Arabidopsis thaliana: one gene and its partner. The protein of the gene in region 2 interacts with the protein of the main gene of each other region in a biochemical or structural test. Each region holds a gene or a part of one and is shown on either strand. Other genes may lie near its edges.

Region 1 (7,182 bases), on a different chromosome or scaffold from region 2:
TCTTTGTTTTTTGTTTCTTGCAATTCAAATGATTATAGATTAAACAATTCACTATATTTTCTCTTAAAAAAAAATTTTCAAATTAAGTGATTTTTTTTCATTTTACTAAAGAAATTCTATTTTTTGTGACCATTTTTATTTTCATATTGTGTCAGTTTTTTTTTAATTACTAGATAAACAGTTTAATTTTATGGTAGAAAATCGATTAATACTGTAATAGTAAACCGTAAAAAACCAAAAAGTGTGTATACAAGTCTGTTATTGAAAGTATTCACTTGATTACGAACGAAGTTAAGAAAATCATAACTACAACATGAGAATAGAGAAAGATCATCCGTTCGCGGATTCAAGAAGGACACACTAGCATCCTTGCTTGGCACAGTATATGTGCGTGGGGATACCCGTAGAGACATGACAACCGGACTGCTGAGACAACCTCAAAGAGAGTATATTCAAAATCCGGTGATTAGATTTATTTAGTATCATGACAACTTAGGGTTGCTTAGGGTTGATGTTTATTTTGATTCCAATCTTGTTTACACTTTATAAGCAGCGACCACAAAACAACATATATCAAAAATCAAATCATGCTAGTACACACACATTCACACGGCATTTAAGGTTGTAAAGTCACTTACAAAATAACCAAAAAACAAAACAATAAAAAACTGAGAAAGAACAAATTAATCAATTATTGCGTTAGGGTTTTGGAGTTGGGAAAACCCCAGTGTACTCAAACGAATCCCTACCATAAGGATCACCAGATGCTTCCTCGTATGTTGCTGAATCGGCGTTAGGGTTTAATCCAACAAGCCGCAATATGCTCTCAAGTTCTTGCACCACCTCACTCATTGTTGGCCTATTAACTCCCTCTGGCTCCACGCATTGTAGAGCCACATCTACATACTTCTCGAACCCTTTCAAATTCCCGCTGTTTTGGATAATTGTCGTGTCCAACAATTCTTGTAAGTCATACAAGTTCCTCGATTTATCCATCTTCTTCTTTACCTCTTTCACAACATAGCTGCCTCTATCTATCGGACTTTTACCGGTTAATAACTCAAGCATCACCACACCAAACCCATACACATCGCTCTTCTCCGTCAATTGATTCGTCATGTAGTACTCAGGATCAAGATAGCCCTAATTAATTCCAGAGATATTGTTAGTTTTTATAGTTAATGGTTTCATATATTTTATGATAGATTCTTTTTTACTCACCATGGTTCCTTTCACTTGTGTTGTGACATGAGCTTTTTCAGGGTCCCCCACAAGTTTGGAGAGACCGAAATCAGCAACCTTTGCGGTTAGATGTTCATCAAGTAATATGTTATTTGATTTGACGTCTCTATGTATAATTGGAGGATCAGCAAGCTCATGAAGATAAGCTAGACCCTTCCCTGAGCCAAGTGCTATTTTGAGCCTTCTTGTCCAATCCAGTTTAACCCCATTCTTCCCTACATTTGTTTTTCAAGTTCAGCACCAAAGAACTAACAAAGCAAGATATATAGAGATTAAATATATACCTGATAGACCGTCTCTAAGGGACCCATTAGGTATGTACTCGTATACGAGCATTTGTTCTTTTTGATCAAAACAGAAGCCCAAAAGCTTAACAACATTTTTATGATGGACCCTTGAAAGAAGCTCAATCTCGGTCTTAAACTCGAACGCTCCTTGCATGGATCCTTGTTGAGCTCTTTTGATTGCTATGACTTGCCCATTGGGAAGGGTACCTTTGTAGACCTGTTTCACCATCAAATTGGTATTATAATTTGAACTACTACCTCTGGTTGTTTCAGTTGAGGACATTGGAAATACACAAACCTGGCCATAACCTCCACCGCCAACATCATTTGCATCTGAAAAGTTGTTAGTACATTTGCTAAGCTCTTCGAAAGTAAAGGCTTTTGTTCCCATTAGTTGTGGAGCATCCATTTCATTCTTCCCCGCATCCCACTTGGCTACAACAGACAAACGAGAAGCTGTCAGGATTTTCATAAGACAAGAGAAAAGTCTTTTGTTCTAGTGTTAAACCATTTTTCTTTTACCAAAAGGATTCATTTGATCAGTTGCTCTCTGAGCTCTCTTCTTCTGTCTAAGAGCGTAAATCCCAGCTAAAGCCAACAGCAACAGAAGAACTACAACACCAACTACTACTCCAATTATAACTTTCATACTTACTGTCTTGGAATCTTCTAAATCTGTGAAACAAACAAGGCTTATAAGTAAAATGAGTTAAATCAATATAGATTTCGTTTGAGTGTGTGTTACGTTTCATCATACCAGAGAATGTTTTGTACTGATCGGCGACGAAAATATAAGGACCAAATCTTGGAGGAGGCTTATAATCCTGAATGGTAAATGCAGAATTAATAGAGTCCATTTCCGTCTGATTAAAGCGGTCGCGTCCCGATGGAAAGATCAAGAGATTTATCAAAAGATGATAATCAGTTGGATTCTCGCTTATGTTTCTCATGGCCACAGAGTCTACAGGATACTTGCCATTCTTAAAGAAAGTCATTAAACTCTCCCCAAACTTTAGGAAGTTACTGTTGTTTGAAAATCCGGAGAATGAAGGAGACCTTAAGGTGAATACTCCTGTAAGTGGATACACACAGTGGCAGCCTTGATTCGGTTCCTTACCTTTACCACAATGATTACCACATTTTGTTAGGGTAGAAAATGTGGAATTTGGTTGGACTGCATTGCAGTAGCCACTCAGCTGATTCGCCGGGTCTTGGCACACTTGATTATCTGCCAACCTATGGATATATCAACACACATACGTAAGTTATTCTTCAAAGATGTTACATATTGGTCAAAGATGAATACATACATTACATTGACGGGGTTATTAGCTGGTGATTTATAACCAGTTATGAAGTTGTCTCGTAAATCCACAAAATCCAATTGTTTGCTATAGTTGGTACCAAGGTCCAATGTTGTGTTTATAAGATTGTGCTTTAGGGAACTGCAAGTCAAGAAAAACCATCCCAATCAGTACATGTTTCACAAATCTTTGAGTTGACTTTCCAATTGAACATTCATGATCATGACTTATTTGACTCACACAGTTTGCAATTGAAGAGGGCTAAAAAGGGAGGTTGGTACTGGACCATCAAGTTGGATATCTTCCAACCTTCTGCCAAGTTGAAGACCATTTTTTCTCATTATGTATGCTCACAAATCTATATATATCTAAAAAGAGAGAGGAATGCTCATACAATGTTGACAAAGAGTTTAAGAAAGGGATCCATGATGGAACCGGTGATAACGCCAACGGGTTATTGCTCACATCCCTGTTACATAATAATCATATCATGGCATTAGATTGATTATTAATAAGAAAGGTTTCTGATGCTAAATTTGAGCAACAAACGAGGAAGAAAAATATTGAAACTTACAATGTGTAGAGACTGGTCAAGCTGGTCAAATTTGGAAGACTACCTGTAAATTTGTTGTCGGACAAATGCCTGAAATGGATTCAACTACAAGATCTTTTACATCTTTTCATTTATATATCTTAAGAAAACAGAACAAATCTTTATTTGCTCACTTACAGTTCTTGAAGATTTGTGAGATTATTAAGACTTGAAGGAATGTCTCCACTTAGTCTATTCCTATCAAGACGTCTGTAACAAAGCAAATATCTTATAAGATTAAAGAAATTTTGTGAACATACAGTTTGGAAAATATATTTCTACTACTTACAACACAGTCAAATTTTGAACTAGGCCGAGGCTCTCTGGGATGCTACCGGTGAATTGGTTTCCATCAAACAGCCTATTGATAAAACAAGAACAAAAATGCAATCATCACTTTGTTAGTTTCTAATATCAACTAGTGAAAACTCTCAGCTTTTGCATGTACTATGAAACTTACACATGTAGCAAAGTCATTTCTGAGCTAAAGAGCTTCTCTGGGATTTCGCCTGAAAGCTTGTTATTACCAAAATGACTACAAAAGAAAGTAAAAGAGAGTCAGAGTGATGAATGTTATATATAAAGAGTAACTAAATAAAAATGAAAACTAAGGATTTGGGATTATATATACAAATGCCCAGTTTGAAGAAGCATGTCAAGTCCAGGTAAAGAAGCCCCATCAGAAACTGGAAGCTTTCCTTCTAACTGATTGTCAGCTATGTCGAACCAATATAGTTTCGATAACCGTCCCATGGAAGCCGGAATTGTTCCACTAAATTTATTTAAATTCAGAGAGCTGTATGGAGGAAACGCAAAGTAATACTTATTATGAGTTTTAAAGATTACATTGAAAAAGTGACTGTTTATAAATTATAAGAAGCAACAAATCTTACAGTCTTGTAAGTTGTTCAAGATTCCCTATGGAATCAGGGATTGGACCATTAAAAGCACATCCCATAAGGCTCCTAGAGAAGAAAACAACAAAAGAAAAGGCGATATATAAGATAATGCGATTGATGGAATTAGGTTAAGATCTTGTTTACTTTGCTTACAAGAAAGTCAACTTCCTGAGGTTACCGATATTTGCTGGAAGCGGTCCAGACAATTCAGGATTGCCAGTCAAATCCCTGCAAACATCGAATCATAAGATGAGAACTAAATCCATTTTTATGCAAAGGAAAAAGAAGAAGAAGAAAGACCTACAAGGTTTGCAATTCAGACAATGTCGAAATTTCGGTAGGAAGCTTTCCTTTCAAGTTACGGTTGGTTAATGATCTGAAACAAGCAAATAACACAGCTTAAAGTCTGTATATAGAGGATTATATTGAAGAAAGAAGCAGCAAAAGAACAAACAAAGAAAGGGACCAAGGTGTTACATTGAAACAACACGGTTATCGTTGTTACATGTAATTCCAACCCATTCGGTTCCACAAGGATCAGAGCTTTTCCAACTCTTGGATAACGTGTCCCATTCGTTCTTCAGGGCTTGTAAAGCAGTAACTGCACCAATATTGAAAGAATTAAAATACAAAAAATTGGAAATCTTTATCTGTTAAAAGAACTCTGATCATCATCTACTTATACTTACAATCTGAACCATCTGTGAACGCATAAACAGAGTAAATTTGGAAGAAAAGCAAGATCAAGAGCTTAAATAATCCAATTCTTGAACTCATCTTCATCAGACACACAATGATATGTATCACAATTCGTTCAAGAAGAAAGCATGTGGTCTGCACAAGTTATGACGAACTCTAACATAAAAATGCAGCCTCCATGTTCTTTGCTAACAAAGCATGTAAGACATAAAGGAGAAGACTTTGAACAAGTTAAGCGAAAATTTATAAATAAAGCAAACAAATAGACAGTGGACCATATAAACAAATAGTTCAACTTGATATAGATAATAAAGAACCGCTATATATTGCGGAAGGGTTCAAAGGTATTATCCAAGGGAGAAATTGAAATGTCAATACGGTAATGTGGAGGAACAAATTATGAACAATGACTTGGCACAAAACACCATTATAATAGACTAGTCCTTTATTAACTACATAAATAAATCTGTTTACATGATAAAGCATAAATATGCAATATGTAACAAAACTTAACTAAATGATCTAACATTTAATTGTTTCTGCACAAAACTGGGAGAAGTCATGTATATATTATTTGTTTTCCTAGAACGTTTCTTCTCAAGAAAAGAGAGATTTTTGAAATAGAGTAATGGTAAGCGACTATGCACTGATATGGTTTTTCTAACAGCAACATGCAATAAAGTCATGGTCATGGAAAAAATCAGCACAAGCTTTTATCAACTTGAGATAATAATACTAATTGCAACAACAATGAATGATGCTGATGGTTTGATGTTATATTGACCAGTACTTCCTCCAAGTAAATTAATAAAAAAAATATTTTTTGTTTTCAGTGTACCCCAAATTGATTAAAAATTAATCGATTTTTTTTTTTTGCCCATATCATATTCTCCGATCAATATACTCCAAACCGACGGAAAACTCAGAGATGGGATGGGACCTTGACCACTCTGACATATGACCACATCGTCTATTTTTTTCCTACGTATGTATGCTAATGCTATTTGGCCACATCCCACCACTTTTCTTATTTTTTTTGTATGTTATTTTTGTTTTGTTAGTGTTTTAGTAAAAAGACTTTTTGTAGTAAATAAGACACAAAAACATATGTGTGCTTTAATCCTCTTAAGAAACTAATACGATATGACTCCGGTATAAAAAAAGTTATGAGTCTACCGTAGTCTACCGTAAAGAATGGTAAATGGAGGAAACATATCGAGAAAAACTTGGTGCCGGTTCGCTACCTCACCATGAAATATATGGCAGAGTTGCCACACACCACATGTCTTAAATCATGTTTCTTTTTATTTTTTGTTAAATCATGTCATACATTTTGGGGGCGTGTTTGAGGTGTGGACAACAAGGACACTAGATCAGAGAGTGCTCTCAGATGAGACGACAACCATAAATTCACCCTGGGTCATGTAACTGTTGTTGTTCGATGGGATCGTTGATGTGTTAGGTTGCAAACCCAATAACTTTATTACTTTTTTTTCTTATTAGTTAATACTAATTTTACTTACGTACTACAAATTATTTGTAATATAAATTTGTAATATAATCTCATGCATAAATGTGAAAGGTTTGGAGTAAATTAAAAGTGTGTGTGATGTGTGGATTAAATCTTTGAAACCACACAAACTTCTCAACAAGAATTAATATATTCAATTATTCATCATACATTGAGCTTGATTACTTTTCTTATGTTTGAAACTGGTGTCGACATTGCCAAAGATCTGGTGGTTTTTGATTCTGCGTTTGGCTCTCCATTCATCTGCTTTATAATCAGCGACCACATATCAAACAGAATCATGCTACTCCACATTCACAAGGCATTTCAAGTATGAAGTCACTTACGAAATAACAAAATAACAAAAAGAAACATAATCAATCATTGGGGCTCAAGCTTTGAAGCTGGAAAATTCCCACTGTACTGAAACGATTCACTGCCATAAGGATCACCAGATCCTTTGATTGCGTCCTCATACGTTCTTGAACTCGTTGCTGAATCTGAGTTAGGATTTAATCCCGCAAGCTGCATTATGTTCTCAATCTCTTTCACAACCTCACCCATTGATGGCCTATTAACTCCTTCCTCCTCCACACATCTCAAAGCCAAGTCTACATACTTCTCGAACCCTTTTAGATTCCCACTGCTT
Region 2 (5,270 bases):
CTATTGTGGATGAAATATCCTTATATACCGTTTGCTTTCAATTGCAAAATTCTGCAGATGAATTGGCTGGTTTTGAACAGTCTTGGAGTGGAAATGCTAGAAGGCAAATGCAGTTACCCAGTCGCTCTGGTTCATTTGGAAGTAAGCAGTCCTATTACACGGTCAAGTTTTCGTGTTGTACGTTTCTTTGTGAACAAAGATAAATCATCTCTTTGATGTTCTTGCAGGTGGTCTTGTGAACAGAGAGCAACCAATGTTACTTCCCTCGACTGATCCAAGTCCTTCTCATGCACGAGCAGAATCATCCCGAAGACCGAAAGCTGCAATGAATGTAAGAGGACATGGTACAAACTAATCTCCGCCTATATGTATGGTTTCGAAAATCTTTAGTGAATGTAACCAAAGACTAATTACTTTACTTAGGTTGCATCATCATTACTGTAACTGTATGATGACATGATTTGAGGGTTTTAAACACTGCTCCTTGATGATTATTATATATGTATCTTTTGTTACATTAATCAGTTCTTCGTTGCTTATAATCATATAGCTAACTGATTAAAGCTTCAATTCTCAGCTACAAATCTAAATAAAATATAAACCGGACCCGGTTCTTACTGGAGAGAACTAAAACAAACAAAACCAATTGGTGGGACACAGCTAACCGGAGAATCATACTTGCACAAAGATACTAATTAAAAAGCAGAGTCATTCACTCTTCATACAGTTTATATTCTCAAGCAATGTCTCTATATTAGGCCTATTGTTTGGTATCTCCTGTGTACAGCTTATCCCAATCCTCGCCATTGCAGTCGCCTCTGGTTTATCAAACTCTTCACGAAGATCTTCATCGATGAACCCGTTATGTTCTCCATTTTCAGCTGCATTTCTCAGTGAACTTGTAAGCATGAGCTTACCAGAGAGTATCTGGAGAATGATGACTCCAAAGGCGAAAATATCGGTTTTCTCGGTGAATTTTCCGGTTGTGACGTATTCCGGAGCTAAATATCCCATTGCTGCACTTGTTTTGAGTGCTGAGAAGACCATATCGTCTGCTAGAAGGTTGTGAAGACCCGAATCAGCGATTAACGGGTTAAATTGTTCATCAAGTAGGATTTTTTCGACAGAGATGTTTCGATGAACTATTGTAGGCTTCTTCTGTTGATCACTTCCATGTAAGTAAGCAATACCTGCAAGAAATTTGTGTATTAAATACATTTTGTTCCTTGAACTCAAAGAAGTGATATTTCAAATACTTAACCTTTTGCAATCCCTTTGATGATGGAGATTCTTGCAGACCAAGCAAGGACCAGATTAGTTTCGCGTTCTTGTAAGTCAAGAAAATTTGAAAGCTTTCCTTTTGAAGCAAAATCATAGATGAGGAAACACTCTCCTCTGCCTCTAGAACAGCAGAATCCACGTAGCTTCACTAAGTTTTCGTGTGACAACGAAGATAAAAGCTTTAAACCGTTCATGAATTCGACTTCTTCGTTCTTGCAACTGCTTATGTTGATGCTTCTGATAGCTACCGGAGAACCATCTCTGAGGACTCCTTTGAACACTGAGGTGAAGCTGTTTCTGCTCAATAGATTAGCTTCTGAGAAGCATTGGGTTGCTGATTCAATGTCTTCTAAGTTAAACCTGAAGCTACTATTTACAACAAAGAGATGAGGCTCTTGTGAAAACTCAGCTCCGTTTCTGCTATCACCTAGCGGATCCCATTCTTTAGTGTAGGCAAGACTCACTAAAGGCGATGCACGGAACTCTTTTTGTTGATCTGTGCTTAGTCTTCCCTCGGAAAACTCAGGTGTGTTACTGATCTTTTGCTTCCTTCTTCTGTAGCGAAAGAAGGTCAATATACCAGCACCAATCAATGTTATAGTGACGGTAATCACGCTTGAAATCAAAGCAACTTGTGGGAGTTTCGATGAGGATTTCTTGCAATGTGTTTGGTTGCAATGCTTTTGGAGATATACAGACTCGGGAATGTTGTGAAGAGCTGATTTATCAGTGTCTATTTCACCAGGAGGCTGCTTAAATTGTTCGATATTATTCGCATTATCGAAAGCAGAACAAGCTCTCAAAGAAGGAAAATCGATACCACATAACCCGGTGTTGTTCTCAAACTGGAAGCTCCCATTCAACTTCTTAAGACCTTTGAAGAAACATAACGAAGAAAAAACCGAGTCAAGAAACAGAGAGATAAGCTCTTACAAAGACGTTTCAAGAATCATTAACTCACCAGGAGGAACAAAGCCAGAGAGAGTATTGTTGCGCAAGTCAAGAGTGTCCAACTGAGGAATGTTGGCTAGGGTTTTTGGGATTAAACCTAACAGATTGTTGAAGCTTAAATCAAGCCTGCTTAACATACTCAAGTTTCCTAAAGTCCAAGGAACCTCTCCGGTTAGTTTGTTGTGTTGCAGAGACAACACATTAAGTTTCTTCAAGGATCCAATGTTCTTTGGTATCTTCCCTGTTAAACTGTTGCAACAAAGATCCATAACTGCAACAAAAGACACCACAAAACATTCAAATGGAAGATCGAGTAAACATTCAAGTGAAAGATCTGTGAAACATTATAAGATGCTAACCTTGCAAGCCAGCCATGGAGCCGATATCTGCCGGAATCTCACCAGAGAAGTTATTAACATTGAGATAAAGATCTGATAATTCAGTAAGATTTGTGATCTCTTGAGGTATCTCTCCAGAGAGACTATTGTAATGTAAGTAAAGACCTGACAAACATTTGAGCTCTGCAACCGCCGGAGACAATTTTCCGACCAAACGTTTCCCTTGTAATGATATGTTTGCGACTTTTAGATGCTGGTTACATGCAATTCCTTCGAAAGATCCGTCGCATGGATCGCCGTTAAACGTCCATGAACGGAGAAGCTTGTTTTCAGGGTCAAGCGACGATTTCAGCTCCATTAAAGCCTTCAGCTCTGCATTTCCTCGAACATTCGACGGAGTTGCAAGAAAGATTGAGAGAAGGATCAGTAACGTGGCACATAAGGTAACCATTCTTGAATTTTCTTGTCTCTCTGTTTAGAAATTACTGAGCTTTAGCTCATTTATCTATCTCTCTTATAGAGCAGAATAATCTGTTTTATAGAGCAGAGTAATAAAGGAACGAAATTTATAGAGCAGAGTACTCTGTTTTGTACTGGATTGGGAGCTATCTCTTTGTTAAACGAAGATAGTAACTTTTAGAGAGGGACCAATTTTGTGTCTGTTTCTCGGATTTGGAAAACTGTAACCTTCCACTCTCGTGAATGAAAAGTTATTCTGCAGAATTTTCTTGTTTTGGAGAGAAGAAGAGAAAGAAGCAGAACCTCAGCTGGTGAAAAGTGGGAAGACAACACAACGCATTGAATACACTGTCTGTGTGAGACAGAGACGTATACTGCTTTTGAAAAGGAAAGCCAAATCTTGATGACTTTTTTGGTGATTTTTAACAGTTAATGTTCACATTTGTTAGTGGGGATGTGATGTTATTAGGTGTTTGTTTATTTATTATGTCTATTGCTCGAGATCTTGGTTTATTTCACTTTCTTTGCATTGGTTTATGATTTAGACAGACTTTAAAACATTTTTAGTATATTTCTTCTATATCACAAATTCTATATAAAACAAAAATATGCTTTTTGGATAACCATTTTAGAAACAAACAGAACTCGGGCAAATCGCAAAATCATTTAGCTATTTGATCATAACTTAAGTTTACGAATAAAATCCATAGAACTTAATATCTATGTGTGGTGGTTATTATAAATGGTAAAATGGGTAAAAGTGTAGAGCGGCTTTAATGTGAGAAAACGATCTAACGAGTGAAGTTTATTTAAGTTCATGTTTGGCGATTGAGCACTTTGGCTTATAGTTCATAACTTTTGGAATCATTTCGAAACTTGGATCATCCTCTTCTTCTTTGTCAACACTCCACCTTCCCATTCCCTGCATGTGCCACGTGCACGTGTCTACTCCTGCATACACATACACATACACATATTCATATTTAGTCTCTTAAAACAAGTCTTTGGATGAGAATAGTACTGATTAAAGAATGTTTTTTTTAGATCCATATTTCTAATAGTGGTCTAATATGATTAGTTGATTATATATACTATAAAATATAGTATACTATAAAATATAGTATATATGGTCTAAATATAGTATTTAGTTAATGATGATATCGAGATTTAGAGGACAATTATTCCACTAACTCTCTTTTCTTTTCCTCTAATTATTTGTAGGCTATAAAGTAAATTGATAAAAGATTAGTTATAGAAATGCTATTTGTTGGTACATGTATTCTAACCTAATTGGGTTTAAGAACAAGACAGTTTGACTATAAGCAGAATCCAATGTGGACTGAAACATTCATCTTAATTAGATATTCTTAGATATACTCTTTGATTATATACAAACTTTTATCATATGTCCTATTATACTGATGAATCTTACTATGTGGACAAAACTTAATTCACACAATGAATAAAATTGGTGAAAATGATAACAAAAAACAAATTAGTGAAGTAATTAAGCACGTTAAAACTAAAAAACGAGACTAGTAGATTTGACGACGACGATCGAGTTCAATGTGAAAGCATAAAACCTTATCAACGGCTATAATTCAGATCTTGATTACTTCAAGGTTTTTTAGATGTATACAATAGTTTTAACAAAAAAAAAGATGTATACAATAGCAATCAGACAACTTTGATTTATCTTCAATCATTCGTCTTTTATTTTTTGGCATTTCAAGATGGAAGGAAGACTTTTGAAATACTTTTATCTTTTCGTTAACTACTTTGACCTTTTACTTGATTGTTTTACTAATAACTTTTGTCATTTTCTCCTTTTTCCCACGTCTTTTTGAATCTATATGATGTCTTTTAAAACTTTTGAAAATTTTATATTTAGTATGCATGCTTACTTACATAGTTACATGTATGAATGTTTTATCTAGAACTCTAGTCTCTAGAAGGATATCCACATTATGCTACAAAAGTAATATAAATATCGACCAAAATTTGTGTAGCCTATGTGTCAAGGTTCTGATTTACACTTGAAAATACGCAAATGAGTTCTAGATGATGGAAAAATGATACACTATATCTCGAATGTTTTTACAAAATTATTAGATAGAATTTATCTCTACGTCAAATTGAAATTTTTGACAACTTGTTGTTGCCTTTACAATTTTTATTAGCAAGATCAAGATTAGATCATTATGTATAAATTCTATTTACTCACTTTTCGTTTAATACGCA

The links.
Region 1: the proteins of AT4G22730 (region 2) and AT5G49770 form a complex in vitro, tested with the Arabidopsis thaliana proteins (one large-scale study listed by BioGRID).

What each region holds. Positions count from the first base shown.
Region 1 is NC_003076.8:20,220,785-20,227,966, reverse strand, and holds AT5G49770 (Leucine-rich repeat protein kinase family protein), read right to left. Parts: upstream 5,299-7,182; 5' UTR 5,108-5,298; coding exon 5,014-5,107; intron 4,926-5,013; coding exon 4,802-4,925; intron 4,701-4,801; coding exon 4,629-4,700; intron 4,553-4,628; coding exon 4,478-4,552; intron 4,391-4,477; coding exon 4,319-4,390; intron 4,222-4,318; coding exon 4,057-4,221; intron 3,961-4,056; coding exon 3,886-3,960; intron 3,787-3,885; coding exon 3,715-3,786; intron 3,636-3,714; coding exon 3,564-3,635; intron 3,477-3,563; coding exon 3,408-3,476; intron 3,303-3,407; coding exon 3,228-3,302; intron 3,146-3,227; coding exon 3,074-3,145; intron 2,975-3,073; coding exon 2,840-2,974; intron 2,766-2,839; coding exon 2,287-2,765; intron 2,205-2,286; coding exon 2,052-2,204; intron 1,965-2,051; coding exon 1,828-1,964; intron 1,747-1,827; coding exon 1,527-1,746; intron 1,458-1,526; coding exon 1,222-1,457; intron 1,144-1,221; coding exon 700-1,143; 3' UTR 501-699; and 1 more. Other genes in the region: AT5G49760 (Leucine-rich repeat protein kinase family protein), read right to left, coding at 6,915-7,182.
Region 2 is NC_003075.7:11,939,135-11,944,404, reverse strand, and holds AT4G22730 (Leucine-rich repeat protein kinase family protein), read right to left. Parts: upstream 3,405-5,270; 5' UTR 3,022-3,404; coding exon 2,592-3,021; intron 2,504-2,591; coding exon 2,243-2,503; exon of another isoform or gene 2,156-2,242; coding exon 1,262-2,155; coding exon of another isoform or gene 1,257-1,261; intron 1,191-1,256; coding exon 709-1,190; 3' UTR 520-708; downstream 1-519. Other genes in the region: AT4G22740 (glycine-rich protein), read left to right, coding at 58-141, 228-355.